Regions from separate parts of the Mus musculus genome. Here regions 1, 2, 3, 4, 5 and 6 are each reported to be linked to region 7. The links are microRNA targets in miRTarBase. Many come from high-throughput screens and were not tested one by one. Region 7 holds a microRNA gene; each other region holds the end of a gene's coding sequence.

Region 1 (4,318 bases), not on the chromosome of region 7:
CAGTGAAGCCCAAGGCCTGAGGTGTTAGGATGCTCAAAGTTAAAGGGCAGAGGGCTCTGACAGAGCATGTATGCTCCTCGAGCGAGTGCGTGCGTGCGTGCGTGCGTGCGCGCTCACCCCAGCAGCCTCGTGGTAGGAACCACAGGGAGAAGGAGGCTTGATGAGCCAACAGCGTAGGTACGAGGTTGCAGGAGAGGAGGCTCGTCTTAGGCTTGAGTGACACTTGGGGACAGTAGGAGAGCAGTGCTTAGCTCTTTGTAAAACCAGACAGAACATTAGAGTGGCTTTCTCAGAATGAGGCTGCTCTCCCTCCCGACACTGTTCACGGCCCGGGGGAGGGTATCAGAAGCTTAGCAGAGGTAGCCCCAGGTGAGCCTGGCATGTGCCTGGTTCTATCAGTGACTCCCCAGGACAAATGACAGATAAGTCACAGGCCCCTTTGCCGCTGGTCCCAGCTGGGAACCTCTCAACAAGAAGGGAGAGATTCACCTTTAACAGGAAGGCTTGGGCCTGGTGGGCGTGGGGTCTCAGCTCTAACAGTGTCTGGAGTGAGAACGCACATGTTCCGTGTTCCCCCCACTTAACCAGCTTCTTTGACTTTTCCCACTTCCTTCCTTGATTTTAGCAAGTCAACCGGGTGACTATCTCATTCTGATGTGCTCTTTAAAAAGCGCATTGCATTAGGGGAAGTGTTTGCTACTGGGACTGCCAGCCATAACCCTGTCCCTGTTTCTCCCAGCCTTGGTGTCATCATGAAAATGGGAACAGGAAGCTGTTGTTGAGGGAAGGACCTGGTGTGAAATACAAGTTCAGTTGAATCAAGTCTCTCCTTTATCTGCACAGAAAACCCTGGAGGCTCCGATACCACCCTTGTATCTATTGCCACAACTCAGGCTTATGAAAAGTGGGCTACTCTTGGACAGTTCAGCACGGCAAAAACTGGCAGGGGAGGGGGCCATGTGTTCCGAGGAAGAACTGATGGTGTCAGGGAGGGAGGGAGGGAACCAGAGCGAGCAACTGCGCATTCAGGCAGCGGAGGATGATGTGAAACAAGGAATCATTCGGGAAAATATCATATAAACACACAATAATATGTACACACTCATATACACCCCGAAGAGAGACCTCACAAAGGACTCTGCTTCCTTTCTGAAGTAGGCTCCCCTACGACAGAAGCATTCCTAGTGGGGATTAGCTACACTGAAATAATTTAAGAATCTCATTTATACTCTATCTGTGTTCTCTATAGAAGTCTATGGTAAAGGCTACGTGGAGGCGTATGCGGATCGCGGGGTCGGATGCTAACGCATTCTTCAAAAATAGGCAATGACAGCTTGTTTTCTCTATTCACATTTAAAGTAACAACACAGTGATGGAGAGCAGGAAGAGAAACCAAACGCAGGGCTTATGGACTGAGTTCAGGGGCCTCAGACCCGCGGCTTGCGCATCTGTGACATTTCTGGATCCCGGTCAGTTCCGGCTGTGCCCAGACTGGAGATCCCCACAAGACGCGCACCACATATAAAGGCTGTGTGAAGCTTCACTTTCCTTCCCATCTACTTTACATTTGTTTTTTGTTTTCTTTTTTTAAAAAGTTAAAGAGGAGGAAAAACTCTTACAAAATATAAAGTTCAATATATAAGCGTAGGGAGTGTCTCCACAGGCTGCCGGTGGTGGCTCTGCCCAGCGTCCTGTCTTCCAGTGTGATGGACTTCTCCCTGCCACACTGTCACCAGGCGGGGGGCTCTCTGGCAAGGCTGCCCCAATTTATTTTTTTAAGAACTAAATAGTGTCACGGTTTGGTGTTCCTGTCTGATCACCGTGCTGAAGGTGTCCGGTATCTGATGAGCCCTGTGACCTACGATGGCAAATCGGATGTTAGAGCCAGACGGGCCGTGCTGTGCGGAGTCTACAGACTCAGGAGCCGGCTGTGCCAGAGCCGCTAGCAGCTGCTCACAGGGTACCTTTGTGGGTCTGGTGTTTTGAGAAATCACCCCTTCTTGCCACAGCCCCTCGGTTTGACTGGGAAGATGGTCTCGGCTCTAAAACTGGGCTCTGGGATGAGGGCTCATACCCTCTTTCCCCTCCCTGCTTCCTGTCCTGACTTTAATAAGCAAATTGTGCCACCGACTTATTCTGATACGCACCTTTTAAAAAGCTGTTTATCACATTAATGGAAGTGTTCGCTGCTGGGAGTACTTCCCACGGACAATGATCTGTAACCCTCTGAGCTCAACCAGTTGCACGTTATTAGTTCCCATCCAGCTCAATTTATAAATTAACATGGGTGCCATTTGTCTGTGCAAAAATCAATGCATATTTATGAACTTCTTTTATTCAAATAGATTTTCACACATCTTATCTACGACAGAAACCTGGGTAATCCAGACCTTGTGGACTGAGGCCTGACACATCCGTTGTGGCCAAAGTACAGAAAAATCTCTTAGAAAAAAAAAAGTCTTTTATGTATTTAGTTTTGGAACATATTTGAAAGCTGTTTTCAGCCGAATTCATGATTTCGTTTAGAATTTCCAAGTGACTCTTTATTTACTTATTTATTTATTTTCCATTTTGTTTTTGCACCAAGTAAGGGGACTGAAGTCAAATAATACCCAGCAACTGATTTCCTCTCTTTGGACTGAAAAATTAAACAGATACTAAATTATGACAGTGAATTTAGAAAGGAGGGCTCCAAGGGCTGGAGAGACACGTCTAGGATAATATGATGCTGCTAGGCGCACTGCAATCATATCGTGGCAATCACCGGAGCGTGCCGTGTAACTACCTCCTCGGCTAATATGCCTTCTTCCCGGTGATGACTAATCACGTTCTATTAAACAGCGGTAATGCTGGAGGAACTCGACTATACAAGTGTAATGAAGCTGGTACTCTCCCTGGACAGATTAGCTACAACTGATTTGACACCTACCATCATAGGGGCTTCAGACCTGACAAACTGTGCTTGCTTCTGATTTATGCCGTCAAGCTCCCCCGAGAAGACGTGAAATCTAAGCCTCCTTTTGGTCGAGGTGAAATGTACTGATGTGCTTAACTGCCAGCTAGGGGACGCTGCCCCTTCTCCTTGCTACCCCTCCCCCTGCCCCGTCTCCAGGCCACTGGAACAGGGGTCCCCGTTGTCGTGTGCTATCCTCAAAGCCGGGAGGTGGTCGGTCCTCCTACGTTGCTTCCGGAGGGTGGGGAAAGAGTTCCGTCCTGTGGCCTGCAGCCTCCTCTTCTCCCCTTGAGGATGTCCAGGTCTGGAGATTTCATGTGGGGTGAGTGAGTGGCAGGTGGGTGGAAGGCTTCCACCTGGAAGAGGGAGGGAACTGAGGGACTCACGTGGTGGTTGCAACTTCTGGAGCAGGTGGGTGTGGGATCCCAGGTGTAGTGTTGGCTGAGCTCAGATGACACTGGGCGCCCTCCCGCTACTGTTGTTCCTGCTGTTGCTCTTCCTGGACAGGTTAGGGGTAGCCATGAGCACAAAGCGCTCGTCGGGGCAGCCATACTGTAGAAGCACGTCAATACACTCCTGGCTGGAGGCCTGCCGGGCATAGGCCAGTGCTGTGTTCCCGTGGGCGTCTCGGGCCATGACGTCCACTCCGTACTGTAGAGGCAACAGAGCACTCATTAGTGTCCCTAGGGATCTGAAGGCACGGCAAGGATAGCACACAATCTACATACAGACTGAGCTGGGATAGGCACCTGGCGTCCAAGGAGCCACAAACCAATGTTCACATGTTGTTTAGACCAGGCTCTGAACCTGTTGTTAGGAAAGGGACCCCCACCCCCACCCCCTGCGCATCACAAACAGGTCAAAGAGGACTTCAAGTTGGCTTTCTAATCATACATCTACGGAGAAGGACAGAAAGATGGCTTGGAGGGCAAAGGTTCTTGTCAAGACTGAAACCTGGGTTTGATCCACAGAACCTACATTGCTCAAAGACAAAATGAACTTCATGAGCGTGCATACATGCATTTACGTGTGCACGGATGTAAGCATGCATGCACGCAGATGCATTAGTTTTCAGCTGCGTTGGATCTCTGTCACCAGAGTGGAGACAGAGGGTACTAGTGGCTGATATCCCCTAAGTGTTTTTAGGTAACTGCCTGGGAACGTTACATTTTGTGTTATGGAAATAAAAATTTAAAGGTTTGGCAGAGGGACTTCTAGAACCCTTTCAAGTTATTTATGCCCCTCCCCGCAGAAGATGACGATGAAGACCAGGTAGGTCCGGTTCCCCCAAAATGCTTGATCTGAGAGACTGTTAGAAAGACACTTGAGAACCTCTAGCAAATGAGTGTCAGTTTCATTTCTGCT
Region 2 (4,318 bases), not on the chromosome of region 7:
ACTCAGAAATCCGCCTGCCTCTGCCTCCCGAGTGCTGGTGTTAAAGGCGTGCACCACCACACCGGCTAGTTTTGTAGTCTTAACCAACAAGGTGCAACGGTATGACTTTAGCAAGTCATTGGCCATTTCTGATTTGCTCAAAAGGACTACCTCTTGCCTTATTTAACCGGCTTTTTTTTTTTTTTTTTTTTTTTTTTTTTTAAGATTTATAGCCGGGCGTGGTGGCGCACGCCTTTAACACCAGCACTCGGGAGGCAGAGGCAGGCGGATTTCTGAGTTGGAGGCCAGCCTGGTCTACAAAGTAAGTTTCAGGACAGCCAGGGCTACATAGAGAAACCTTGTCTCGAAAAACCAAAAAAAAAAAAAAAAAGATTTATTATTATATCTAAGTGCACTGTAGCTGTCTTCAGACACACCAGAAGAGGTCATCAGATCTCATTACAGATGGTTGTGAGCCACCATGTGGTTGCTGGGATTTGAACTCAGGACCTCTGGAAGTGCAGTCAGTGCTCTTAACCACTGAGCCATCTCTCCAGCCCCCTTCACTGGCTGTTTAATGAAATAAGATCATGTTTTGAAACGATGAGGACCTATACAGCCTTGTGTTGGGTCACAGTTGTGAGGCCAGATCCTTCATTGACCCAGGGTAAAGGCAGGCTATCCCTGATGTTTTTGTTTCGTTTTCTAAGACAGGGTCTATGTAGCCCTGACTGGATCAAACTCATCTTTTAGACCAGGCTGGCTTCAAACTCAGAGATCCACTTGCCTCTGTGTGTATGCCTCTTTCTGGGACTAGAGGTGTACACCATACCATACCCAGACTGCTTCCCACTGACCTGCCCCCGGCCTCCCTGCTCAGACAGTTTTTCCACTGTAGCTCTCTGCCTATCTTGGAACTCATTCTGTAAACCAGGCTGGACTCAAATTCAGAGAGTCACCTGTCTCTGCTTCCTGAGTGCTGGGACTAAAGACATACACCACCATTGCCTGATCTCTGTTTTGTTAAGGTGTGGGGAATGGGGTTTGCACGAATACATATTTGTACCTCACGTTCTGATCCCTGTAGAATTCAGAGACGGGTATAGGATATCCTGGAATTGGAGTTAACAGTGTGAGCCACTATTTGGGAGCTGGTGATCAAACTCAGGTCCTCCAAAAGAGCAGCCAGTGCTGAGCCATCTTCCCGGGCCTTAACAGGCTGTTAATTTTCTTATTTACATGTGCCTGCATCACATGCATGCAAATGCTCATGGGAACCACAAGAGGGAGTCAAGAGCCCTGCAACTGGAGCCTCGAGCAGTTAGCTACTTGATGTGGGTGCTGGAGACCCAACCTGGGTTCATGGTATAAGAGCACCACATGGTCTGGCTGCTGAGCCAGCTCTGGAACCCTATTACCAGGGTTTTAATTACTCAGGCCATCACCCAACCTCACCCTTCAGCAGCCTTCAGGGTGCCACCTCTTGCTGCTTCCCTGTGGGTCCCTGCCTCTTGAAATGAAATGACCCAGATGCTGCAGGCTTGGGAGCTCCGTCTCAGGTTTCAGTGCAGATTTATTTCAGTTTTATATTTTATTCCAGGCAAGTGCTTATTACATGGATAGTATTCATGTCTCAATACCTAAACTCAGAGCATGAACAGCCACTAGAGTACAGTTCAATAGTAAAAATACAATATGTACAAAATTAGGGTTTTTGTAGTTTTTTTTTTTTCCCACACAGCAGATGTACCCAAACACATAAAAATCTCTACAGTCTGGGGTCGCTACAATTCATATTTCAGGAAACAGAGACACAGTGACCAAGTCCTCACTGTAAACAAGGGCCACCTCTTTGGGGATTGGGAGTGGGACCCTGGGATTGGGGTGGGGGGAGAAGCAGCTGTTCCTAGAGAGAGACTGTGGTGACCCAACTCCCCTCCAGGTATCCCCTGCCCTTCTTTGGCCCCAAGGGAACCACTCTCCCCTTTTCCTCCCCGAGGTAAAGATCCCAGGCAGTGAGCCACTCCAAACAGCACAGGTAAAACACGCATGAGAGGTAAGGTGTGTGTATGTGTGTGTGTGTCCCAGGCTGGAAGGGATAGGAAGGGAAGGGCCAGGCGGTCCCACAGCGTGAGGACAGATGTGGTCCTAACAGCTCTCAAAGGGGAGATGCCCAAGAAAGGGCTGGGAGGTGGCTGCCCACTTGGGCACACAGCAGTCACAAACAACAAAAACAGCGACAACACCCATCACCACCAATCTGGACATAGTCATTCGGCACTAGATCTGGAGGAACCCCTGCCGGGGGGATGGGGGGAGGGCTGGGTGGATGATGAGGTATCTGTGCAGGCCTGGGGGCCAACACGATGCTGTCAACTCTGCAACTGGCCTCGAGACACAGAGAAGGGTTAATGGGACAAGTGGTCTGACCCAGCCAGCACCAGACTCTGCCCCTTGTCACAACACAGAGCAGAGAGTGGAGGTGGCCCCCAGAGTCAGAATGTGGGTAGAGGTGGCTGGCAGCAGCCACAGGAAGGCAGCCAGTTTGTTGGGATTCCTGTGCTGGGGTTGAGACCTGGTCCTAGCTACCATTCCCTACCCCAGGAGACAAATAATAATAATAAAGTGCCCTGGGAGGTTTCCAGGGCCAGGAGGACCTGTGAGCTCTGAGGCACCTGAGGAGTCATTATTTCAAGGGAGAATGTATTCAGGACCTTCGCTGGCCTCAGTGTCTGCTCACAATGTCATCTGAAGGACCCTGAGTCCTCCCCTCTGGCCCCTGGACTGCCTAAGCCCCCAGTGCAAACTTCGCACCTTAGGGGCACTTGCTTCCTGCCCCACACGGAAAGGCCATTGGTGAGTGTCCAGTGAGGGCCTGAATGCGCACGCGAGTAACTGAGTGTCTGACACAAGGCCACTTGTAATAAATATCCACTTAAAAAGAGAAGCCAAAGCGGTCTGCAGAAGCAGAGGCAGGAGACACAGCACCCCCGAAGCACAGCACCCCCGCTCTCCATCAAACACATGCTGTGCCTTGTCTTCCCCAGCAAAGGCCCTTTCCACCATAGACACTGCAGCCCCACCAGGAAGGGAGGGGTCTCAACACTGGCACCGAGAGGGAGGGAGAATGGGAAGAGCCCCGGGATACCTCCACAGTGTACCTTAGCTCCTAGAGCCCTTGCTGGTCCACACCTCCCAAGCTGCAGGCAGTACCTAAACCAGGGCCGGGGGAAGCACTAGGGAAGCCCCACCCCAGGGGCAGGCTCGGGAACCTTGACAACAGCCAGGACCTCGTTTATTGTTGGTTGGGACTCATTCTGAACAGTTTCTACTGTAGCCAATCACAGTGACCACAGGTGGGTCAGAGTGGCCCAGGCCCAGGCCTTCACTTGTCCTAACCTGACTCCAGATCTTAGGATCTGTCACCTGCACTCAGAGGTGGGCCCCTCCCCACCCATCTCCCATCTTTCTGGGGCTCCCTGTTTCCTATCCAGAGGTCCCACAGGACTCTGAGGCTGGGGAGGGGAAGCCGGAGAGCTCAGCCACCTCCCCAGACAGAGCAATAGCAGCAACAGCACAGGAAGGCAGGCCAGGGAAGGGGAAGGCAGAGAACGTAAGCCACAGTGCAGACTTCCAGGGGACAAAACAGGGAGATGGAGCGGCACCAGAACTGGCACCAGGCTGGGTAGGCAAGAATGTCCACCAAAAGCATCCTCCTGTCTGCCAAGTCCTCCTGCAGCAGGACTTCCTGCCTGCAGCCAACTCCCTGGGGGCCCCTCCCTTCCCCTGGCTCAGAGTCTCTGCACCCCCTTCCCCTAAGGAGGCCTGGGGGTGGTGTGGGTGGGGCGGGCCTGGGCCTGGCTGGAATGTGTGGAGCTGGTGGGTGGGATTAGGGGCAGTCAGGTCCCCTTCCCTGCCCCCACTGGGGGCCTAAGTGGCCTCATTCTCAAGCCAGCTTGAGTGTGCTGACCGGAAAGGAGGGCATGGTGACCATAGTCACAGGGTTGAGCACTGTTTGGCCCACCAGCTGGGGGTGGTGCACCACCTGGGCCCCCACAGCTGGCTTTGCCATGACAGTGGCTGGGGGCCCCAGCCCGGCTGTGCCATTTACTTGCTGGTGCGACAGGGTGTGGGCGATGTGGCTCACGGCCACTGGCTGGCTCACGGCCACAGGCTGTGGGTACAAGGGCAACTGGGAGCCAAGGTGGGCCACATGGTTGAGGGTGGCAGGGTGCACTGTGATGTGGCCGATGGGGGGTGTGGCGGGTGCCAGCTGCACAGCAGGGCTGGGGGCGGAGGGGGCGATGTGGGCGATATGCTTGCCCCCCGGCCCCTGCAG
Region 3 (4,318 bases), not on the chromosome of region 7:
CACACTGACTAGAAACTGCCCTGTGCAGAAACTGTATGCAGAACTATACTCCCTTCCTAAGAATACCACAAACAAGGTTATAAAAACAGCTGACCAAACAAACATGCCTGGGATAAAAACACATGTCATAATATCTTGGTGTAAACTGTGTAAAGCAAAAGGACTTTCAGTTTAAAAGTTTCGATCTATGGGGCTGGAGCGGAGGGTTAAGAGTACCAGCTGCTCCTGCAGAACCCGAGTTCCATTCCAAGCGCCCACAGGGTGACTCACAACCATCTGTGACTTCAGTCCCAGGGCATCCAACACCCTCTTCTGGCCTCTTCGGGCACTGGACTCATGTGCAAGCAAAACACCCATACACGTAGCATGAAAAGGTAAATTGTGGGGTGCAGAGCAGGCCCTGAGTATCTGAAGTCCCGAGCGGATTCGTGTTGTTGACATGAGAGCAGCCATGTTAAAGACCCAATAGCCTCAGAGCCATAAGCGTGGCAAAGCCTTCCTCTAGTGCCTGTGTGAATGTTGACAGTGTGTGCAGAAATTGTCTACCAGTCTTTTCTGGATGTTTACCACCTGAAGACAACTTCCCATGGAGGCTGCACCGACTGAAATTAGACTACCTGATCCCAGTGACTTCTGTGTGTCTGTGTGTCTGGATGTCTGTCTTTTCTTCATTCCTTTGCTACCTTAGTTAGATCTATCCTGGGAGTCTTGCAAGGATGGGTCAGTAAATAAATTTCAGAGGGGGGGGGGGGTGAGGAGGGAAGGAGGAAGGAGGGAAGGAGGGGGATTTCTGCTCTTTCACAACATTCAGTTTTGGTTCCCAGCATCCACAGAACAACTCAGGAGAGTCCATTACTCTACAGGAGGGTCTGCTGCTCTCTTCTGGCCTTTGTGGGTATTGCATGCAAATGGTATATAGCCATGCACACATACACATAAAATAAAAATAACCTTTAAAAACAAAAACATTATTTTTAGCAAGGTGTGGTGGTACACACCTTTAATCCCAGCTCTTGGGAGGCATAGGTAGGAAGACCTCTGTGAGTCCGAGGACAACTTGGTCTACAGAGCTTGTTCCATGATAACCAGAGCCACACAGAGAAACCCTGTCTCATTAAACCAAAAAGGTAATCTCAAACACAGAAATTCCTATCTGGAATCTGAGTTTTGTTCTCTGCAGGGCACAGTGAGATATTGCCTCATTCTGTGCCTTCCACATCCAGGAGAGAAGGACGTCACAGACTTGAGGTGCCCCCTAAAGTCAGGACTCCTGAAAGGCCCTCTTGTCAGTTTTCCTTGGTTTGTCTCAGCTGCCTCTGAGTGAGTCAGGACTATGCTATTACTCACACTGGGAGCCACAACCCGAAGCTCCAAACTGAGACATTCTTCACGCGCATCCAGAGAAGCCCTCCCCTCAGGTCCAATGGAGCAAGGGTGTATCCAAACAGAGGTGATAGGCCTCTGTTTGAGCCCGTGTGCAATAGGCCTGGGCTCAGCAGAGGAGCGTATAGCCAGGACCCTGAAGGAGTCAGGATGCTTACCGCATGGCGTCTTCACCATCTCTGGGATGCTGAAGCCTCCTGGACCTGCACCCCTTTGCTGCCAGACATAGTGTGGTCCCTGGTGCTCAACTCCACCACACACAGTCCTCTTGCTCCTCTCCCCTCCACCGTTTTGCCTTCCGTACTTCCTCTTGTTATCTGGTCCTCCTGGGTGTTCTGTCTGCCTTGCTTCTACCTGGTCCCAGTGACAACTCTCAAGGACCCAAGCAAGATTCAAGCTCTGGCAGGCATCTCTCCATAAGCTACCCCCCCCCCCAAGTCTGGCTGTGAGCAGCAAGAAATGGGGACGGGCAGAGGTGACTCGGCTTAGTGGCCAAAGCCAAAGCACATGGTGAGGCATGCAAGGTGGGGGTGGGGAAGGGCTTGGACCATTTCCCTCCCCTTCCAGACGCCATGGCCAGAAAAGCCTCACCTCACATTTGGAAACCCAAGCACAAGGTCTAGGTGGTCACCCAGACGCTTCCCAGGATGAGAGGAAATGAAACTCACTTTCAAGTCGGAGCTGAAGGGACCTGTCTGGGACAAACTGTTACCCCCCACCCCCAGATGCATAAACCCAACCCTGAGAAATCGGTTATTCAGTGAGAAGCACCAAGTTTAATATTAAAATCTTTCCCATTTAAAAAAAAAGTACAGATAGGAAAACTTAACAGCATATAAAATAGCACTTCCGGTGTCTAAATGTGGGTTATCTCGAGTCCTACAAGTACTTGTAAACCTAGGTGATTCTATCTTTGGTACCATTGTGAGCAGTACTCCCCAGCCTCTGCTGCTCCAAGCGGGGAGATGCCAGCTAGCCAACCAGCTAGCAGGGAGGGTCCCCAGAAAGGCTGACTTCCCCCCACTCCCTAGTCCCCAGGCACTTGCAATGTTCATTGGTTCAGGGTTAGAACTGTTTCTGTGGGGTGCTCCCTGGGGACGGGGGCAGCTGGCAGTTGAGGTGGTAATCCCGTCAGCATCTTCCTCTCATTGCCCATCTCAAGTCTCTTGTCCTGCATGGGACGTCTGTCCTCACTGTCCATCATGTCTGTCCACACGCTGCTGGTGACAGTGGCCCGAGGTAACCTGGCTTGCCTTCTCTGCCACTCTTGCTGGCTTCATGATATGAAAAAAGGGTCTCGTGGTCTCTTCTGTGTCCTCAGGACAGCTGTAAGGGGGTTTCCTAGGACACTCACTGTCACTCCAAGTCAAGGTCTGGGCAGTTGCACTTGGAGACTTGAAGAAGAGGCTCGGTTCCTGAACCCCCAGAGTGTGAAGTGTATCAGGGATCTTCCAAGAGCTCAGCTGACCCCTAGAAAGATCAGTTTAAGGACTTGACCCTGCTTCCTCGGGACAAGAGCAAACTCCCAGAACATACAAGAATTGTACTATTGACAGGGTACTCAGAGTCTATGTGTCCAACTTGCTTTTCAAAGGGGAAAGAAAACTGGTCCCCAGAGAGAACAAGGAAAGCCCCCAAGGTCTCATAGCAGGTCCAGCGCAGAGCCAGGGCTCCTAGTGGTAGGTACACACTTCAGGCAGATGCTTAGCCTATCACAGGCGTGGACAATGGCCCTGCAGACTCTGGTGGGTGGGTCAGCTGAGAGTGACCTGGGGACTATTCTAGGACTGGTGGGGCTGAAAGGAGTGGGTGCTTCCTGTGGCCAGGTGTGCCCTGAGTGCCCAGGCAGGGCTGCAGGCCAGAGCATTCTGTACTCGGCCTACCTTCACCACTAACAGCATTCATTAAGCATGGCTGGCCCCAGACCAGCTCGGGCCTGGGAAAGCTAAGACCAGGGGAGGTGGGCTCTGAATGAAAAGACCTTGTCCAAGGCTGGTTACAGTTTGGCCAGGAGCCAGACACCAGGTCCTTGCCTGATTCTTAGGAAGATCAAAGTAGAGCAATCCAGCTGAGGGGCAGCTGCTACACAGGAGGATATGAACACACCACCGTACAGTCGTGGATTTCTGCAGGAATCCGGGCTCCAGACCTGTCCTGTAGCCAAGTACAACTCTTCCTCTTACATTTGGGGAAACTGAGTCCCCTGGAGGAACCCTGGTTCAGAGTCCCATGACCTTCCCGAGGCAGAGTTCTCTTGCCTCCTAAGCTAAGCTGGGTCCCTGGACCTTGAGTGCTGCAAACCAAGGGCTTTCCTCGAGGGGACAGCTTGTGGCAGTGTAGCTGCTGGGAGGCCAGGCCAGGCCAGGCCAGGCCAAGAGGGTTGGGTTCTGGGAGGCAGAAGGGAGATTCGGGCAAAATGGAGTGATGTCAGTTCCTACAGGAAGCTGTCCTCTGCTTCAGCCAGAGGTCCTGGGCAGCCTGAATCCTGTGGCTGCTCCAGTTGTGCCTCAGGCTCTGCTTGCTGTGGCTCTTCTTGGAGCTCCAGGGGACTGTCGCAGGAGATGGTGGAGGAAGTGTTGACTTCATTCAAGGTGGAACTAGAGGAAGGGAATAAGTCAGAAAGGAACCGGGGAAACCCCAAGAAGATAACAGCATTATCTAAGAGGTTTCCGTGTGTTGTCTTTACACACTGAGAGGCCTGTACCCCAAGGGGAGCACAGCTCAGAGAGGTTATGTCATGGCTCCACCACACACAGCGGGTGAGTACAGGGAGCTAGAACTTGAGAGCGGGAAGACCAGGCTCTCAAGTTTCTGTCTCATCCCCGCTTGTCAGGAATCCATCTTTGTGCTCAGGGAGATGACAGTATCTCAGTCCTCCCCTAGGGCTGTTTTCACCTTACAGAAAAGGAAACTGAGGTTTGTGGAGGCGGAGCAT
Region 4 (4,318 bases), not on the chromosome of region 7:
CACACTTTTTATTTTCTCTCTACCTTGGCCAGTGTGTAAGATTTTTTTTTTTTCAGGATTCAGGTCAGAATTGCCAACATCAAGGAAGTCTCTCTCCTGACTACTCTTTCCAGTTTGAGTGGGCCCACTCTTGGCTAATGATTAGCATTTGCTTATAGCAATAGAGGCCTGCTTTCCCAAACTCCACTTGTCAGGTCAATATTATCCTAAGGGCTCATCAAATCACTAAGACAGTAGCCTCAAACAGTAAAAAATTAAACAAACAAATACAATCTCTGACACTATGTAGAATACATATTATGAAGAGCAGGCACAGAGAAAAATATACTGATGTCAGTTGTGAGTACTATATAGCTTTTGAATAAGACAGAATCGGGGAATGTATTGAAGGTTATTAATGAGTTCAACAAATGTTTTTAAAGCTAATTGGGATCATGTGGAACAATCTTCAGTTTTGCATGATTTTTGGAAAATGATTTATCCCAGAGACCTCTTTGTCAGAGTATCAACATAATTATAACAGCTAATATTCAGTAGTTCCTCTGTATTGTAAGTACTTATATATTGGTTATTGACTTATTTAATAATTAACATGCAATTTAAATTTCTTTAACTAATTTTTTTTTGTTGTTTAATAGGAGTAAAAGAAATCACAAAATATACAGGATAAACACCACAAAACACACAAAAAGGTTCCTGTTGTATTAACTCCACATTTCTGCAGCCAAGCTCTGGGAAGCACAGGGCATGTTACTTGTACTTGCTGTGTCTTCCCTGTTTCCAGGGGGCAGCGTCTGAACTGTGAATCCCTTGCTTGTTATAAGGACACCAAACAATAACATTTTGTATTGCTGTAGTATTTTCACTTTTAAAAGACATCTATATACAAAATACCTTTTATAGTAAAAAAAAAGGGGGGGGAGGATATTTAAAGAAAGTAGGAAATCTTTAGTCTTTAAAATCCACACAAAAACCAACTTGATTCAGATGAGCTTACGCTGGTTCTACCCTCAAGAGACATAAATTGCTCTTTCCTGGGTGTGGGGAAACGGGCTTGGTGTTCAAGAGCATGCCAGTGGGGCCTTGAAAGCTGGGCTGTGGGGAGTACTAGTGGCTTGCCTCTGGGCCATAGAAACCACCTTCACCTATGACAAGAGAGCAAATACCCTTTGAATATTCAGAAAACTTATTTCAGAAGGGAGAACATGCTATCTTCTTTATTGATTATTATTGAGATTATTATCATCTTTCTCTGGGTCTCATTCTCACCCAGCTACATCGGTTAGATTCCTCAGAGGGAAACGATGGCTGTTGGTACAGGAGAACCACACTGGACCCAGGATTAACTCGAAAGGCTAAGCCATAGGTAACCAAGTTTTTCTGGAGGAAGGAGAAACAATTTGGGTGAACTGGTGTTAGCTGAAACGCAACTATATGTAATTAGAACCCTAGGGGTGTTGCTTTTGAACCCACTGCACAACAACAGCATGAAAGGATTACCAGTTTGTTTTTACTATACTGTTTGGGTAAATTGGTAGGTAACACATTTAAATAAGAAAATGTGAACTTGTTAAGAAGATACACTAAGATTTTAAGATAACTCAAGCAGTGTAAGTACATAGAAAATTTAATTTAAAATAACTTAAAATGTTTGGGTCTGATCTCAAATTAGTTCAGGTAAACAGAAATAACTGTAAATGTATATACATGTACATGTGTATGTATACAAACATTTATCTCCATAGTTTCAAACGGGTACACATGTATTAAATTACATATCTCTTTAGCCTTAAGAGATATGTATTTAAGATATGTATAAGTTCAGGACATAGGGGTTATATATCTCTATAGATATAGCTTTATCCATTCACATAAAGATATATATCCATCTTTACTCAAAGATGGAATTCTCTAATTTTACCCAGCACATTCTTTGGAAAGCTTCACCCTCAGAGAGGTAATCACACAGGACATGGGTTTCTAGACTTATTCTTCTGCATTAAAAAATTATTTTACTCTTCTGTCTATAGTTACTGTGGTTTTCCTTAAACTTATTCACTCACCCAGGGAATGAAACTCACTTCTGAGGAACGGGAAATAACTCTGAGCTGGAGGAACCTGAGTACACACTTGAGCCTGTTCTCTGTCTTCAGGAAGACAGATAAACTAAAGCTATAAGAAGGACTGATCACTCTTTGTTTGCTTAAAAAGCTGGCATTTGTCAACCACTGGGGTATAAACATCACAGAGTGATTTTTTTTAAATACTTTTGCATACATAGGTAAAGTAGTCATACACAGTTATACTTTTAACTCCCTCAGTTTTTTTCTCCAAAGCTAGTAGCAGTAGCAAGAATATCTGAAAAAGAGAGAGGTGGCGCTCTGTGGGTGAGACATCCCAGGAGTTGTGTGTCCTCAGCAAAACACTTGGTAAAAGTTTCCTGAAGCATGGCACTTTGTTCTAGCACATACCAAAGTCTTAGGTTCTTAGCGGACATAGAAGCTAGCCTGACGGTTTCCAGAATTCCTCATGCCTTCACTTTTATGTGGTCAATATAATCCTAAGACTCCTTTATACGCTGTTCCATTATGACAAATACATCAATTTCGACCCTGCTGTGGGGTTTCCCACTTGCTGCCAAAAGGCCGAGCAGTGCCTGGGTTTCCCCACTTAAAATCAATCACTCAGGCTCCCAAAGAACCTGAGCATCTATTCATCCCCACAGGGGTTCGCTGAGAAAGAATATAGTTGTGCTGCAGCTGTATGCACGAAAGTACTTTTGATCCATTAACTTGCCTTTGTTGTGTGCATACATATTGAAGAAGGTGTTTATATTGGTTTAGACAGGGTACTCATAACATAATATCTGAGTTATGGGGCGATTTATTTATTTTAAAGAATAAAACTATGTTCTTAATCTATAAAGAATTCTCTGCACAGATAAATAAGAAAAATGGAAAAATATTAGGAAAGTATGTAAACTCAAGTCATGAGGTATTCCAGAGGTACAGACAGTGCCAGCCAGAGTCCCCCACTGTCACGCTGCACAGTGCCTGCTTTCCTCTGTCACCACATCTGAAAAAAACAGTAAGGAGGGTGAAGGAAAGGCCTTGTGGGAAGGCGAGGCCTTCACTAGTTCAAAGCAGAGTTGGCAGAGAAGAGGGAGAAAACAACGTTTGCATGTCATCCTATAGCAGTGTTTCTCCCCCTTCAAAGTTGTTAGTTTTAGTCTTTAAAGCACTCACTTTTCTGGGGCACATGCTTGTCTGTCTGCGTGACTTCTCTTTCCAGAGAGAGGCTTTCTGTTTTTAAATGCTAAGAAAACATGACTTTTTTGAATTAGATTTTTCCATGCTATATTTACTTTTACAGATGTGTTTAGTTCTAAAACTGTGGTTTACTGGATTCTGGGGAGAATATATGTATATATATATATATATTTCAAGAAATCTTTACACTCAACTCAGACACAGTCAATCTATGGCCCTTCAATTCTTCTATCTTATTGCTTCCATTAACTAGAAATCCTGCATTCTCTTTATGTATCTAATTTTCATGGCTAAAATCTGAGAAATGGACCCATTATTACATTTCCTGAATAGCCGAGTTTTAAAAATCTCTCATTGCTTTTTTTCTGGTACTTAAATAGGTTATTCTTGCATACAAGAACTAGGGTTTCCCAGGAAACAGATATCAGTATGTGCAATGCATATACCAGAAACAGACATTCACTCAAGGGGCAAATCAGTAATGAGTCAGACTTACATACATGTGCAAATATACAGTTGACAGAAAATTATTTTAGCTTCTAATATCCTGAATATTAAAAACGAGCCGAGAGAGCTCTTGTGATAATTAGCACGACAACTCTAGATTGCAATTTTCCTGATGAAGTATCATCAGATCACATCGCGTGAGTTCCGTATTGCACAGCAAAGCACCATGCTGAATATCATGCCAAAGATCTGCAACAGAAAGAACCGCTCATTAGCAACTTTCACATGTGGATTCGATAAAAATCAGCACACTGTGGCACTGCTTAGTTCAAGTTACTGACCAACAACACTGGCTGTAAATGACATTTTCATATGTTTCTTAAGGATGGCAACTAAGCAAGACGTCTGTGTCCGCTTTGCCGAGCTCCTATGTTACCTTCCTAACAGACACGTCTGTCTGTCTGTCTGTTTCTGGCTTATGGTTCTTAACAGTTATGAAAGACTGATATGTTTCTGGTTTTTGAATTTTACATTTAAGATGAATCTCAGATCTATTTTACTCACTCAGAAAATAGTTCTTAATTTCTTACGTAAAAGTGCTT
Region 5 (4,318 bases), not on the chromosome of region 7:
TAGAAAGTAACTCCCTAAAGGGGTGATGTGTGATGTCTCTTGTGATCTTGTTCTTGCTAAGGAGAAATGGCTCCTGAAGAGTGGGAGATTCACAAGCTTTCCGGGGTGGTCCCTGAGATGGGTGCACAAAAATACAGGCTGGCTGTCAACACCTAATCTTTCAGAACTTAATTCCATCCTGTAGAACCCTCTGGGCTCTTCAAGGGCAGAGGATGCTGGGCCTGATCTTCAGCTAGAGCAAGCTGCTGAGCAAGGGGAGCAGAGGGGTGCAGCTATCTGGGTACCTCGGAGAGACCAGCATGGCTGAGCCGCATGGATGAGCTGTGTGTGGTTGGTAGGGCTTCTGCACTGAAAACATGGGGGTGAGGATCTGAGAAAGACACCTGGCTCTTTGTTCATTCGATCAGGCTCCCACCTCTGCCCAGTATCTTCTCCCTTACACTTCAGGAAGCCTTCTGTGTTGGTGTAGAGCAAGGCCCCCACATGGTTCAGACTTTGGGGGGGGGGGGGGCTATGTAAAGTTCCCGGGCCATCCAGCTGAGCAGAAAGCTCTTAGTTCAACAAGGGCATTCAGTGAAAATGGCAGTCATCAACGCTGCATAAATCCCTCTACCTCTGCTTGCTATGATTACACACAAAGCTAAAATAGCCAGGTGTGGAGCAGCTCCCAAAGCTAACTTTTTTATTTTTGGCGGGGCGGGGGAGGGGTGGTGGTCAGCGTCTACAAAGCTCTGGACTCAGTGATCCACTGCGTGGCATCACGAGAGTGTGCCACCAAGCCTAGCTGGAACAAAACTTTTCCTGAGACAATATGGGAGTTGCCACCGTCTTAGCTTAGCAGGGAGAGTTCCAAAGTAGCCTTTCCATTAAATGCCAATTCACTGTGTTTACAGAGAGAGCCAAGGAATGAACAGGATCCCGCCAGGGATTCCGGTCTGAAGATGGGGATCCGCCCCCCTGCTGTTCGCACCGTTGGCTGATTGGCCAGTGCTTCTCAAACAGGTGTAAGGTAGTCTGCTGGGAGCGAGAGGCCTGCCTGAGTTCATCCTCCTGTCCTGACTCTTTCAAAATGAAAGTTTTCAAAAATCCTATCGCTCTTGCAGATGGGATTAAGAAACACAGTGGAAGCCTATCATTACCAAATCTAAGGAATTATTTTGACACAGAAATTGACCCACCATGTGAAATTGAACTTGGCGATGTCATTAAACTTGGCCTTTTTTTTTTTTTTTTTTTTTTTTTTTTGCTTTTGTTGGCTGAGGGAAGAGTGGAAGAAACCCACAGGGTTTCAGGAATAAGTGGATGATCGCTTTTTAAGGTGACTGGTATTGACAGTAGTGGGAAAATAAATCCCTATAAAATAACATACATGTATTTAAAAAAAAAAAATCATGCCAGGGAGAAATGTTCTGAGACAGAGGTCACAAAGACCCCAGACGAATGAAGAGAGAACTGGCCCAGATCCTGGAGACACCCAGAGCGTTCACCAGGATGGCGGTCTCTCTTCTTCCTTCTTGCCCGAATCCCAGGCTGTGCCAAGGGACCTGGCTGCAACCTCCAAACCATCCGGACTCCGTTGGTTCTAACCAGTGTGGGAGGACCCCCATACGCATACTTCCGGAACATATCCTTGAAGACTTTGTGGTCTCACTGAGCTGTCTGGCTGAGCCAGCCAACTGCAGGAAGGAGCTGTGGTCATCTCCACAAGGACTCCATCTGCTCAAGAGGTAAAGGGGTAGGCTGGCAAGTTTGGAGTGTGGGAGGGAAGGAGTTGGTCTGTGATATCCAAGGAGCAAAGGCAGCCTTCAAATAGAAACCCCGTCTTCCTGCAGTGTTACAAGCAGCCTTGGGGCATCAGCAAGCTTTCTGAGAGGGCTCGCAGCAGACATCTGAAGCAGGTAACACCATCTCTGGCAAGGTTACTACTTCTGAGGTAGAATCTCACTTTGTGGCCCAGACTGGCCTTTAACTCATGGTGGACCTGCCTCACCCTCCTGAGTGTAGATCACAAGCCTGCGCCATTTACCCTTCAAAATGTAAACAACCAAGTCTGAGGCATGATGGGATTATACCTGTAATCTCAGCATTTGGAAGGCTGAGGCAGGAGGACTGCTGTGAGTTTGAAGCCAGCTTGAACTACAGGGTGAGAGTCTACTTCAAAAACCAAAATACCCAAACCAAACCCTTGAGAGACAGAGGCAGATGCATCGCTGCTGAGTCCGAGGCCTACCTGGTCTGCAGAGAAAGTTCCAAGACAGCGGAGGTACATGGTGAGACCCTGTCTCAAAAAACCAAAACCTAAACACATTAACAGAGCCCAAATGGATATGTGACCTCACAGGGCTGTGCACCATCGTTGGCTAAATACCAAGTCAAGGCTTTCTGCTGGTCTGCCTCTCTGCTTGTCTCTCTTCAAAATCCTTAAGGAAAAAAAAAATTTAAAAAATCCTTAAGCACCCTTTTCATGATGGGCACCAGTCGAGGCCCATGATATGAACCCAGAGCCCAGGCCTCCTGCTTCATTGAGCTAATCTGTGCTCACACCTGTGCTGTGGCCAAGCCTCCTTTGTCCCATCATTACAGCAAGGGGGAGCCGGAGGAGACAAGGAAGCAATATTCTATTCTCTCCACGGGAAGGGACTCTGGTAAACATCAGAGCAGCTTTTCAATAGACTCTCTCCTCTCAGACTGGCTCTGGGGAGGGACTTGTAAGAAAGTATCCGTTGCTGACGCTGCCTTTCCTCTCAGCAAGTGTGGAGATGGTTCCTACTGAGCCATCCTGGAGGGTTACCGTGTGGTCACAGCAGGATGATCCACACCCCAGGCCCACAACCTCCGTTAGCAGCAGATGAGGCTCGCAGTGCCTTCTCAGTGACTGGGTGACATAAGCTTGAAGGGAAGCCAACAGCTGAGGACCCAACCCCACCAGGATGGAGGATTAGACGGGGCCACTCTCCCTAAGTGCTTTCCTCTGATGATATCACCTAGCTGTTCTTGGGACAATCAGGTTCAAAGTCTTGACATTTCTGCGGGTCCCCACCCTCAAAAAAACAAAACAAAACAAAAAAAAAAAACAACAAAAAAAACTCCAAACCCAAAACCCCCCACAATTCTCTTGGAAAATCCCTTCTGGACATAGCATTGTTCTCAGAACGAGCCTTGGTCATTACCGTTTTATAAACAAAAATGCACAGTGAGCAGAGAGGTAGGCCTTGTGTTGCCCTCTGAGGATTCTCCCTCGAGGACGGGAATGAGCCGGGATCGTGGGCTGCAGTGACCTCGCCAATGTGGTTCCTTGACATGTTGCAAACTGTATTTTGTATGTCCGCACACATTTTCTTTTTCTCTCCACCAGGCTGGCCTAAAACTCACCATGTAGCTGAAGATGACTTCTAATCCTTCTGCTTGCACCTCCAGTGTTGGAATTTCCGTACGCGTGCGCAACCGTGCCTGGTTTTACGGTTTCTGGGCATCAAAACTGAGAGCCTGGTGCATGTCAGGCACACACTCTTAACAACCAAGCCGTAGCCCTGGCTTGCGTGTACATATCTGAATGTGACTCTTGGCTGACAGTTTCCAGGTTGCCCAGGTCCTACACCCGGGTGTCCCCCCTCACGGGATCTAAGTGGGGAAAGCCCAGAAGACTGAAGTCATTAACACAAATCAAGACATGAGAGTAGATCAGGACATGATGAAAACCTTACAGAGCTGAAAGCTAGTCAGCTTTTGTTTACCCTCGACGGGCTTTTCAAGTGTTCTGGGGCAGATTTCCCTGATGATTTAGAGGTTGCAGCGGGGTCCCTTGGCGCAGACTGGGGTTCGGGCAAGAAGGAAGAGGAGAGACCACACTTGGCGTCCTGCGAGTCAGCGATGGTGGATGTGTCAGCCTCGCTGGACAGGTCCTCCGTGGAGAAGTTGAGACTTCCCAGCTTGGCAAGGGAATGGGACCTTTTCAGCGGGGACGACACGGTGAGGCCTGCCAGGCGCAGCCGCGTCTCGATCTCCTGCGCCCGCTGCTTCACCAGCCCAGGCTTCCCTCGGACGCTGTGGATGCTGTCGCTGCTGGAGCTCCGGGTCAGGTTGGAGCTGATGGAGGAGGAGGTGGGGGTGTAACACACGGTCTTCAGGAAGTCCTTCGAGAAGTTACTGGTGTGATCTAAACGGGGGAGGGTAGACGTGGGGCTCTTCTGCAAGGTTCCCCCTACAGGCTGTTCTTCCGACCCAGCTTGGCTGCACAGGGCTGGGTGTGCGGGCTCCTGGCTACCCTCCTCCGGGATGCTGGCCTCCAGCCTGCAGGTGGCGCTGTCCCTGCAGGCAG
Region 6 (4,318 bases), not on the chromosome of region 7:
ATAGTCTCTTTCCTTTAAAATGAGTGCACTGACCTTGAAGTTAGAGTAATTCAGAATATATAAAATGGCCTGGCTGATGACTAAAGAACAGACAGCCCTTGGGCATCCTTTCCTAGCATCATAGTTACTAAAGTTACTAAAGAAAGATGCTGTGGGTTGGAGAGACGGACACCTCAGGGGTTAAGGCTGCTCTTCAGAGAACCTGGATTCAATTCCCAGACTCATCTGGCAGCTCACAACTGTCTATGTAACTCTGGTTCTAGGGATCCAATACCCTTACACACACACACACACACACACACACACACACACACACACACACACACACGCAGGCAAAACACTAATGCACATGAAATAAAACTAATAAAAAGATGCTTGCATACCAGCCAGAAAAACATTCCACAGTGGAAAGATTAGTATATTAAAAAACATGAATTTTTGCATCTTTAACCTATTGTCATAGTTTTTAAAACTTTATGGAAGAGTAATATATATATATATTTTTAATGCAGGCATTGAGTTCAGAATTAGCCCAAGCTAGAGATGAAACCAAGAAGACACAGAACGATGTTCTTCACGCTGAGAATGTCAAGGCCGGCCGTGATAAGTACAAGACCCTTCGGCAGATTCGACAAGGCAATACGAAGCAGCGCATCGATGAGTTTGAAGCCATGTGAGAGCTGTTCTTGTGATCCATGTCCTTCATAAGCTGAACCACCACCAGAGAAAAGCAGGCCTGTGCAGTGCAGATGCAATGGAACGCATCCCACCTTGCCAAAGCACTCATACCAGTCGACTGTGCTCACTAGCAGGACACTGAAGGGTGTCCTTCATCATTAAGGCAGTGTGATGTCATGTTTGGTCATTTTTCTTTTGTCCAGGGAATGGATAATGACATTCTGTCACCCACCCTTTTGTACATTTTTCACTTTTTGTTTGTTTCATCTTTTTCAGTTGAATATTAATACTAATGGCCACGTCTGACAAATGTGTGTATGTGCTTTGAGCACTGTGTACATCTTAGGATAATGGTGGACATTTCAGTGCATGTTTAGCTAATGAACTTAGTTTTCTTTGCCCTTTCCATGTTGTAGGCTACATACATCTCCATGTTCATTCTCATGTTTTTTGTCAGTGTGACCTTCTCATGCCCTGTCATGATAGAGCTGTAATTCTGGTGTCACACGGATCACTTACTGGAGGTGTATAATATGAGATAGTGAGGCAGACAGACAGACAGACAGACATGGGACTACATCATAAGATGATTAGAATGTTGGACAGCGTAGTATGCAGCCAGTGGTTAGTTATTACAAAGATCCCTTAGTTACTGTATTGTTTGCTTTCCTTAAGTGCAGTCATCTCTGATAGCTTGAGTGATGGTGTTTCAAATCCTGTAGTCCTATGGTGGCTTTCCTTGCCTGTTACTTTAGAGATCTAGCCACTAGGCAGTCGCTTCTAAGAAAATTATTGATGAAGTGGCCTTGTAAGTACATGGTCTCTGAAAAAAATTCAAGTTTTGTTCTTAGGATGTCCAATAGAAGATAACTGTGGATGATAACTAATTCTAATTGTTGAAGGGGGAAAAAAACCCAAACCTTGGCCTTTCTGCAAGGGCAGCATATGGAAACATCAACTCTGAGAACAAAATACTACCTCACTCTTTACGTACGTGGTGACTGTACGCACAGTCTGTGCTGCATGTCTGTCACCCATACGCAGTCTCAATCATGGCCTTCACTGAGTGCTTTTGAGATCCCAGTGCTAATGTTTTAACTGCCTTTCTGTTGAACTGTGGGGCTCTGATTTGTGTCTAGATTATTGTATATTCTCACTGGTATGCTGTTCCCTGGGGGGTGTTCTGTGTCCGACGCTGAGTGACCCTTTGTGAGAAAGACGTTGCCTTTGCAGTACATGAAACATCCCATTCTTTGTTCTTGATGGGATAGGGGTCGTTATTGTAGCATATTTGGTTTCTAAATCACTGCTTATTTTTATTTGCAATCTCTAAAAACAAATTTTATTTCAATTACGTCTTACTGAAGAAGTCTTTCCAGCTAGAAAGATGTTCTGACACTGTCTGATCGTGAAGCACCTGAATTTACAGAAGATGCAGAAAGCCTCGTTTTCTCTGCGTGGTTCAGCTACTTTCCATTTGGTATTATGCACTCAAACTTAACATTTATCTATTAAAATTGCCATTTCATTAAGCAATTTTCACGCACAGTAGATTCAACTTGTTTTTTGTGCTGTTTTTTGATTTTTGCTGACTTAAAAAGGATTAATTTGGGCAGACATTATAAAAAGGAAAGGGTTAATATATTTTTGGACTCTGTAGGACAAAAGAGAACTGGTTAACCTTGAAGTGACTGTTGTACAGTGGCTGTGCACGTGCTTCAGACTCATTTGCGAGGGAATGCTTTCTGTATGAGAGGGAGACGGTAGGCCTTACCACTCAGACCTGGACGTATAAGTGCTCACTTTTCCAACACATCACAGCGATAGTCCTTATTGCTAAAGGACTTGGCTTCCCTCGGAGTTTTACTGATTTATTTTTTTCTCTTTGCATTGTGTACATTATCATTGCTACATCAGTTGTTACAGTGTTGAAAGGCTACCAGTTATATTTGCTGTTAATAGTCTATTTGTAGATTAGGATTAAAGTGGGTTTAATCCATTTTTATAGCTGTATGAATTTTTCTAAACAGGAACAGCCATTTGCAAAATGGGTTTTCATAGTGATTGCATCAATTATAACATTTATCATTAGCAGTTGAGAGCACATGTTCATATAGCAATGTAAAAACCTACTAATGAGTATTTGGTAATTTCCCATTAGCATAATTTTATGTTGTACAAGTAAATTACAATTCCATCTCTAATCTTGGATAATACTGGTTGGTTAACAATAAAGTGACAAAAGCTCCCGCCTTGGAGGTCCGCTGTTGTTATTTAACGTGGTTTCGCACGTAGCTCTTGGAAGGACAGTCTGAGCCATGAACCATATGAACTGAACCCTGGATCCTCAAAACCTTGCTCTTTGTTTCCTTTTTACAGTGGCGGTCACAGTGACTCGGAATTAACTCTCACGTCCGAGGGTAACTTGGAATTTCCAGGCATTACATTATTTTACACCGTCCAGCCTCTTTTTCCCCAAGGAAGGCAGGGTTTCATTCTTGTTTATTCCTCTCACTACTAAAATCTCTGGTGCTCTTTGCACTTTGTGCTGGGTACCTTTATTCAGACAGATAGGCTTCCTAAAGCTGTGTTGGAGCAGGTACCATGAATGTGGAATTGCCCTTTAGATGGTCTCTCACTAATACTTAGCAGATATTTTTAAGTAAAGGAGTAATGGCTCTCATCTAGAACACTTTAAAAGCCAACACTTGCTACTTTATTTCTGTTTCCAGGAGTAGGTAGTGATTTTCACTGATCTTGAAAAGCAAAGACATTTTTATTTTTTTAATCTAGAGAGCCTTTTTTTTTAAATTACTACTTTTAAACTTAACATAGGAAGTTTTACTATACATAGACATAAACATACTGTTGTAGTTTAGAGTAACTTCTATATCCCCCCCCCCACAGTTTTCATCACCTTAAAGATTTGGGATGTTTTAAGAGACAAAGGATAAACATTAAATCCACACCTATATGTGCCCAAGGAAATCTCATTTTTTAAATGTTAAAGCTTGAAGTACCAGATAAGGGTTATTAAATTTGCATTAATTTGCTAACTGACCAGTGAGGCAGTTGTGACCTTTCAGGTAGAGTGATGGTCTCTTCAAATGCCCAAAAGCCAGGTGTGGTGCCCACACACATGTGATCCCAGACTTCAGGAGGGTGCAGCAGGAGAGTAAGAGTTGAAGGTCATCCTTGGGTACACTCTTGTTGAAGGCCAGTCTAGGCTACCTGCAGCCCTGTCTGCCCATCCTGCTAAACACCAGCACTCCCCGTGCTTTCCGCACAGTAGAAAAGCTATGTCATGTGCAGGCTTACCGTTTCCAACCTTAGCTTTCCAATGACATACTATTAACTCCATTTTTCCTTAGTAGACCTACTATCTCCTAATAATGAGCCCATCTTTGAGGAATTTAAGAGCTGCCATTTCCTGATGGAAAAGGCTGTGACCCTTGTGCTGTCTCCCCTTTGACTTTCTGTTCTGTGAACCAGATGTCTTGACTCAAGCTTATAAACCTTCCTTAAGCAGTGACATTTGCCTTCTTATTCATACCGCCTTAAGAGGTGAGCTGTTCCTTCATGCTTACGCACTGCCTTAGCACTGAAGTATTTGCGTTATCTCGTATAGAATTTTATAGCC
Region 7 (4,318 bases):
CCACCCTGATCCCCACATGCACCCCTATCTCTAGTGACAGTCAGTTGTCAGAGAAGAGCCAACAGAATGTAGAGAGGGGCACAGGACATGTCAGAGGTCATCTTCCAGGAAGCTACCCTGACTGCAGAGCACCTCAGAGCTCTCGGATGCTCCCACGCTACCCCACTGGGTGGTCGCCGTGTGTCCTGTCCTGTGTCCCTAGTACTTGAACTCTGCAGAGCAGAGGCCATCTCCCACTGCAGCATAGGAGCCAGGAGGTGGGTGTGACTGGCCAGCATGTCATTCTGCTTGCACAGACACAGCTGGCTGTGGTAGCCAGAGGGTGGGCCTGTGTGAGGGTGAAGGGTTGGGGGCTGGGCTGTGCAGAAGAGTATGGAAGGTAGGCTGTGTGATGGTTTGTATATGCTTGGTCCAGGGAGTGGCACTATTAGGAGGTGTGGCCTTGTTAGGGGAAGTATGTCATTGTGGATATGGGTTTTAAGACCCTCACTCTAGCTCCCTGGAAGCCAGTCTTCTCCTGTTTGCCTTCGGAACAAGATGTAGAACTCTCAGCTCTTCCTATGTCATGGTATTCTTCTGCCATGATGATAATGGACTGAGCCTCTGAACCTGTAAGCCAGCCCCAATTAAATGTTGTCCTTATAGGAGTTGCCTTGGTCATGGCATCTGCTCACAGCAGTAAAACCTTAACTAATTCAGCAAGGGATGAAGAGTGGGCAAAGCTCTGCACAAGGGAGGGGAGGAAGGACTACTCCTCTAGGGCTGGAGGCATAGCAAGAGTCAACAGACTTCACCACTGACTACAGGATAAAGAGAGGTAAAAAGGTGACAATTTATCATCCACCATCGATGTTCCAAAGGACAGCAGGGAGGAGACAATGGGGCATGCCACGGAGTGTCTGAGTGTCCACTCCTGTGTCTCTAGCTGCCAACTCCTATACAGCCATCAAGACCCAGCTCAGATAGCCCCTACTTTGGGAAGCCATCCCTGTTGCTCTCAGAGAGTACTCAGAGAGTCCCTCTGGGTACTCTCAACCCTGGGGCTAGCACAGTATCAGATCTTTGGAAATGGCTGGCTAAGTTTGAGAGGTCTGGTAGCTGAGGGTGGATATAGAGGGGCTCTAGGGGTGTTTGGTCTGCCTAGGTGCGTCAATGGAGGTGTGTGGATATGCAGAGTTGAGGCAGATTGGGTTCAGGACGGGAGCTGGGACTCGGGGGATTCATTATGGGGAGAAGGCCAGGACATCAGGGTCAAGGTATCCACCCACGAGGGAGGCCTTTGGTGTCTGGTCAGGTAAGACTAGGACTTTACCTTCCTAAGCTAACACTAGCTGAGGGCTGACCCTCACCCCACTACCACCACCTGAATGAAGGCTTGGGGTCCCTGGAAGAAGGGTATATGACCATTTGGCCCAAGATTAGAAAGCTACATCCACAGCCGTCCCAATACTGTCCCAAGGGAGGCAGGCACGAAGGGACAATAGGCCAGGAATTTCTCAGATCTGGTTAGGACCACAGGCTGAGGGACACTGGAAGCCAGTACTGTGCTCTGAGACTTGGAGTCATAGGGTCTGTTGTTCCACTCATGTGGAGGGGCTTGGGTGTCCAGGGCTTGGGCCACTAAGGGGCACATGGAAGATGAGGGGAGGGTACTGTTCACTACCCAGAGCAGCTCTTGCTGGCAATGTTTCATGCATGCAAACGTGTCAATGTGTGGTTGGCGATCTCATGTCCTCTACGGCCAGTCTCCGTATTTCCAAAATGACCAAAGACCAGTTGTAAGTTCATGACAGAACATCCTTTATTTATACCCAGGTCCCACGTCATAGCCCCCACCCAATCTGTGGCTCCATTTAGCTTGCTGAGCGGGGGCCTCCATGTAGCTGTGTCCCTGGGCGCCTCAGGGAAGGCAGTAGGTTGTATAGTTATCTTCGGAGGGGCAACATCACTGCCCTGAAACCACACAACCTACTACCTCACCCTGCGGTGTCCGTGTTCTGGAGGAGGCCCAGCCGCTCCCCACCCACCCTGGCCACAGGCCACTAGAGCCATAGGGCACAGGGCGGGGTGGGGGAGGGGGAAGTGGAGACAGAGGTTCAGTGAGAAAGGCCTGTGCCTACCAAACAGATTGAGGAAGCCTCTGGTGTCTGAACCCATTGCCCCAGGGACAGGGGACAGTGGCCTACACGGTCCATCTGCAGGCTGTACTCATGGGTGTGCTAAGAATGGCTCCTTTTCAATTTCTTCTCGGAAGAGACGCTTGCTCGTCAGAGGCCTGACCCTGCGCTGGAAAGCCTGGGCAACTCTGGAACATAGTTGAAGGTCTAGTCCAGACCCTCTTTTCATGGAGACCTGTGAGCACAGGTCTGATATGGGGCCAGGGGCAGGAAGGCCCCTTCAGTGTGGGCCAGGGAGAGAAGGTGCCCTGAAAATGCTGTCTGTTTTCATCGCTATGCCCCAACCCTTATACAGATGAGTAACAGCCCAGAGAGGTCAAGGGACTATCCAAGGTCTCTGTCAGGCTCTTTTTGCATGGTAGTTATCACCCCCCTGTCCCTCCCTCAGTCTCCCCAGCCAGGGCCGCCGTTGTATCCACTGCAGATATTGCGGCCACTTCAGGAAAGACAGTAGATTGTATAGTTACCGCAGAGCGGGGCAGAGCCCAAAACCATACAACCTACTACCTCACCCCAAAGGCCGTCAGTCAGTCTTGGCGTAGAGCTGGATGTTGTGGCTTCTTGAGGTCCCTCCTAGAGGAAGAAGGAGAGCTGGGGACATGGTGAGCCCCACCCCCCACCCCCGACACAGGCCGCTCAGTGCTGAGGGTATTAATAGACTGGGATTTTCTCAAAATGGGCCAGGGACATTTAAACAAAATCACAGAGAGAGTAAGGGGAGACGGGGAGACGGGGAAACGGGGAGAAGAGAGAGAAAGCACGGGGCACTGAGCACAGGAATGGCCACAATGGGGGAAGGGTGTCATTTGTTAAAGGCCACCAAGGTCCAGGGTGCTTCCAGTGTCCACCTGGCTGAGACCCAGCCTCTGTCCACTCAACTCTAGCGTAGTAGAATCACCAGGACTCCTGCTAAGTAGTAGCCTTGGGCATGTACCCTCTTCCCCTTAGGCAGGAAGAGCCCCCCCCTCGTGGGCTCTGGTTCTGTCCCTCCCTCTTCTCAGGGTGGCCTGAGCTGACCTTGCTGGGGGAGGCTCAAAACAGTCTTTCCTTGTGGGAGGCAGCCTAACTCCCCATGGTGGCCAGCCGGGCGCAAGTGCAGACCCTGGCTGGACACTCATGGCCAGTCTGTCCCTAACGACTAGCACTTCCAGAGGCCAGCAGAGATCGCTGAAGAAACTGAGGCTCAGTCTCTGGTCTCAGGTAGCTCTGCTCTCAGAAGGGAAAAAGACCTGCTTCTTTCAGGCCTCAGACCGGTTTGCCCAGCATGTGGAGGGAAGCCCTGTGCCCAGACCTAGGAAGCCAGGCAGCTTTTGCTCTCTGCATGAGCCCTAGCGTCTACTGTCACGCCTCCTTTCCTCTCTGCCAAGGGTCAAGGGACAAGTCCAAAACTCCTGGGTCAAAATGAAGCCGTTAGGTCTAAGTCCACATTGTGGCCCCAGATCCGGAGTCTATGGGGCAGAGGAGCTTAGGAACAAGGTTCCCAGAGCGCTGGTGTGGCCTGGCCCGTGGTGGGCAGGCCTGTGATGATAGGAAACACTAATCTTCCAAGCCCCAGAAGGAAATCTGAGCCACTGGGGTGCCATCCCCTGCCTCAAGCCTGGACCCTTTCACTAACAGGCAGGTCAAATACCCTCAAGGATGGTCCCTGCAGAGGCAGCAAGGCAGAAGAGGCGTGGGAAGAGAGTGGTGAAGGGCCCCTTTGGTGATCCTATCTATGATGGGTGGCCCAGGTGAGAAGGCTGAGGGGTGTCCCACACTGCTTAGCCTCTCTGTAGGCTTGACTGGCCATGGTTAATCTCGTCGGTTCTTAGGCTGTGCCCGGATGTGGTGGAATAGCTAGAGACCACATTGGTCATCTCCATCTGAGCCCAGCACCTCCCTCCCCCTCTCCGCCCCCAGAAGCACTTTGAAGGAGGAAAGAGGTCAGACATCAACCCCAGGTCTCTCAACACTTCGGGTTCTGCCCTTGGCTGTCAGGATACAAGTACGTGGGCAGGTCTGGCTGGAAGGTCGAGACTGGCCCCTCTGACTCTGGGCACCATCATGCATTTCCGTGGGGTCCTTTTGGCTGGCCCCTGGGGATTCTCAGCCACTCTACTTAGCAGCAGGAGGCCGGTGTATGCCACTGTGTCAGCCCCAAA

Evidence for each region. The annotated mature microRNA mmu-let-7b-5p reads UGAGGUAGUAGGUUGUGUGGUU and lies in region 7 at 1,958-1,979, opposite strand. An mRNA with a match to its seed (bases 2 to 7 or 8) in the 3' UTR can be bound and repressed. Matches are read on the target gene's strand: a 7mer-m8 pairs with bases 2 to 8, a 7mer-A1 pairs with bases 2 to 7 and ends in A, and an 8mer does both.
Region 1: miRTarBase lists Agap1 as a target of mmu-let-7b-5p. Seed matches in the 3' UTR shown: 7mer-m8 at 357-363.
Region 2: miRTarBase lists Mnt as a target of mmu-let-7b-5p. Seed matches in the 3' UTR shown: 7mer-A1 at 2,313-2,319.
Region 3: miRTarBase lists Pdgfrb as a target of mmu-let-7b-5p. The part of its 3' UTR that is shown has no 7-base or 8-base seed match.
Region 4: the mRNA of Tspan2 is a reported target of mmu-let-7b-5p. Seed matches in the 3' UTR shown: 7mer-A1 at 2,991-2,997.
Region 5: the mRNA of Ssh1 is a reported target of mmu-let-7b-5p. Seed matches in the 3' UTR shown: 7mer-m8 at 3,203-3,209 and 8mer at 1,930-1,937.
Region 6: the mRNA of Rdx is a reported target of mmu-let-7b-5p. Seed matches in the 3' UTR shown: 8mer at 1,653-1,660.

The regions. Positions count from the first base shown.
Region 1 is chr1:89,887,977-89,892,294 of GRCm38, reverse strand. Agap1 (ArfGAP with GTPase domain, ankyrin repeat and PH domain 1) reads right to left here. Exons shown (of 18, transcript NM_178119.3): 18 at 1-3,604. The coding sequence ends at 3,401. Among named protein-coding and RNA genes, the nearest start is that of Gbx2, 41 kb to the left of the region's middle.
Region 2 is chr11:74,842,928-74,847,245 of GRCm38, reverse strand. It overlaps Mnt (max binding protein), which reads right to left. Exons shown (of 6, transcript NM_010813.3): 6 at 1,521-4,318. The coding sequence ends at 3,926. Among named protein-coding and RNA genes, the nearest start is that of Mnt, 14 kb to the right of the region's middle.
Region 3 is chr18:61,082,883-61,087,200 of GRCm38, reverse strand. Pdgfrb (platelet derived growth factor receptor, beta polypeptide) reads right to left here. Exons shown (of 23, transcript NM_008809.2): 23 at 2,134-3,980. The coding sequence ends at 3,818. Among named protein-coding and RNA genes, the nearest start is that of Csf1r, 21 kb to the left of the region's middle.
Region 4 is chr3:102,768,524-102,772,841 of GRCm38, reverse strand. Tspan2 (tetraspanin 2) reads right to left here. Exons shown (of 8, transcript NM_027533.3): 8 at 532-3,965. The coding sequence ends at 3,900. Among named protein-coding and RNA genes, the nearest start is that of Tshb, 12 kb to the left of the region's middle.
Region 5 is chr5:113,938,520-113,942,837 of GRCm38, forward strand. Ssh1 (slingshot protein phosphatase 1) reads right to left here. Exons shown (of 15, transcript NM_198109.5): 15 at 1-4,318. The coding sequence ends at 3,720. Among named protein-coding and RNA genes, the nearest start is that of Coro1c, 32 kb to the left of the region's middle.
Region 6 is chr9:52,085,803-52,090,120 of GRCm38, forward strand. It overlaps Rdx (radixin), which reads left to right. Exons shown (of 14, transcript NM_009041.3): 14 at 513-2,936. The coding sequence ends at 677. Among named protein-coding and RNA genes, the nearest start is that of Mir6244, 28 kb to the right of the region's middle.
Region 7 is chr15:85,704,986-85,709,303 of GRCm38, reverse strand. It overlaps Mirlet7b (microRNA let7b), which reads right to left and starts at 1,985; the gene lies at 1,901-1,985. Lncppara (long noncoding RNA near Ppara) reads right to left here. Exons shown (of 2, transcript NR_110483.1): 2 at 1,780-2,750. It overlaps Mirlet7c-2 (microRNA let7c-2), which reads right to left and starts at 2,701; the gene lies at 2,607-2,701. It overlaps Gm34622 (a long non-coding RNA gene), which reads left to right. Exons shown (of 3, transcript XR_384306.3): 3 at 1-433.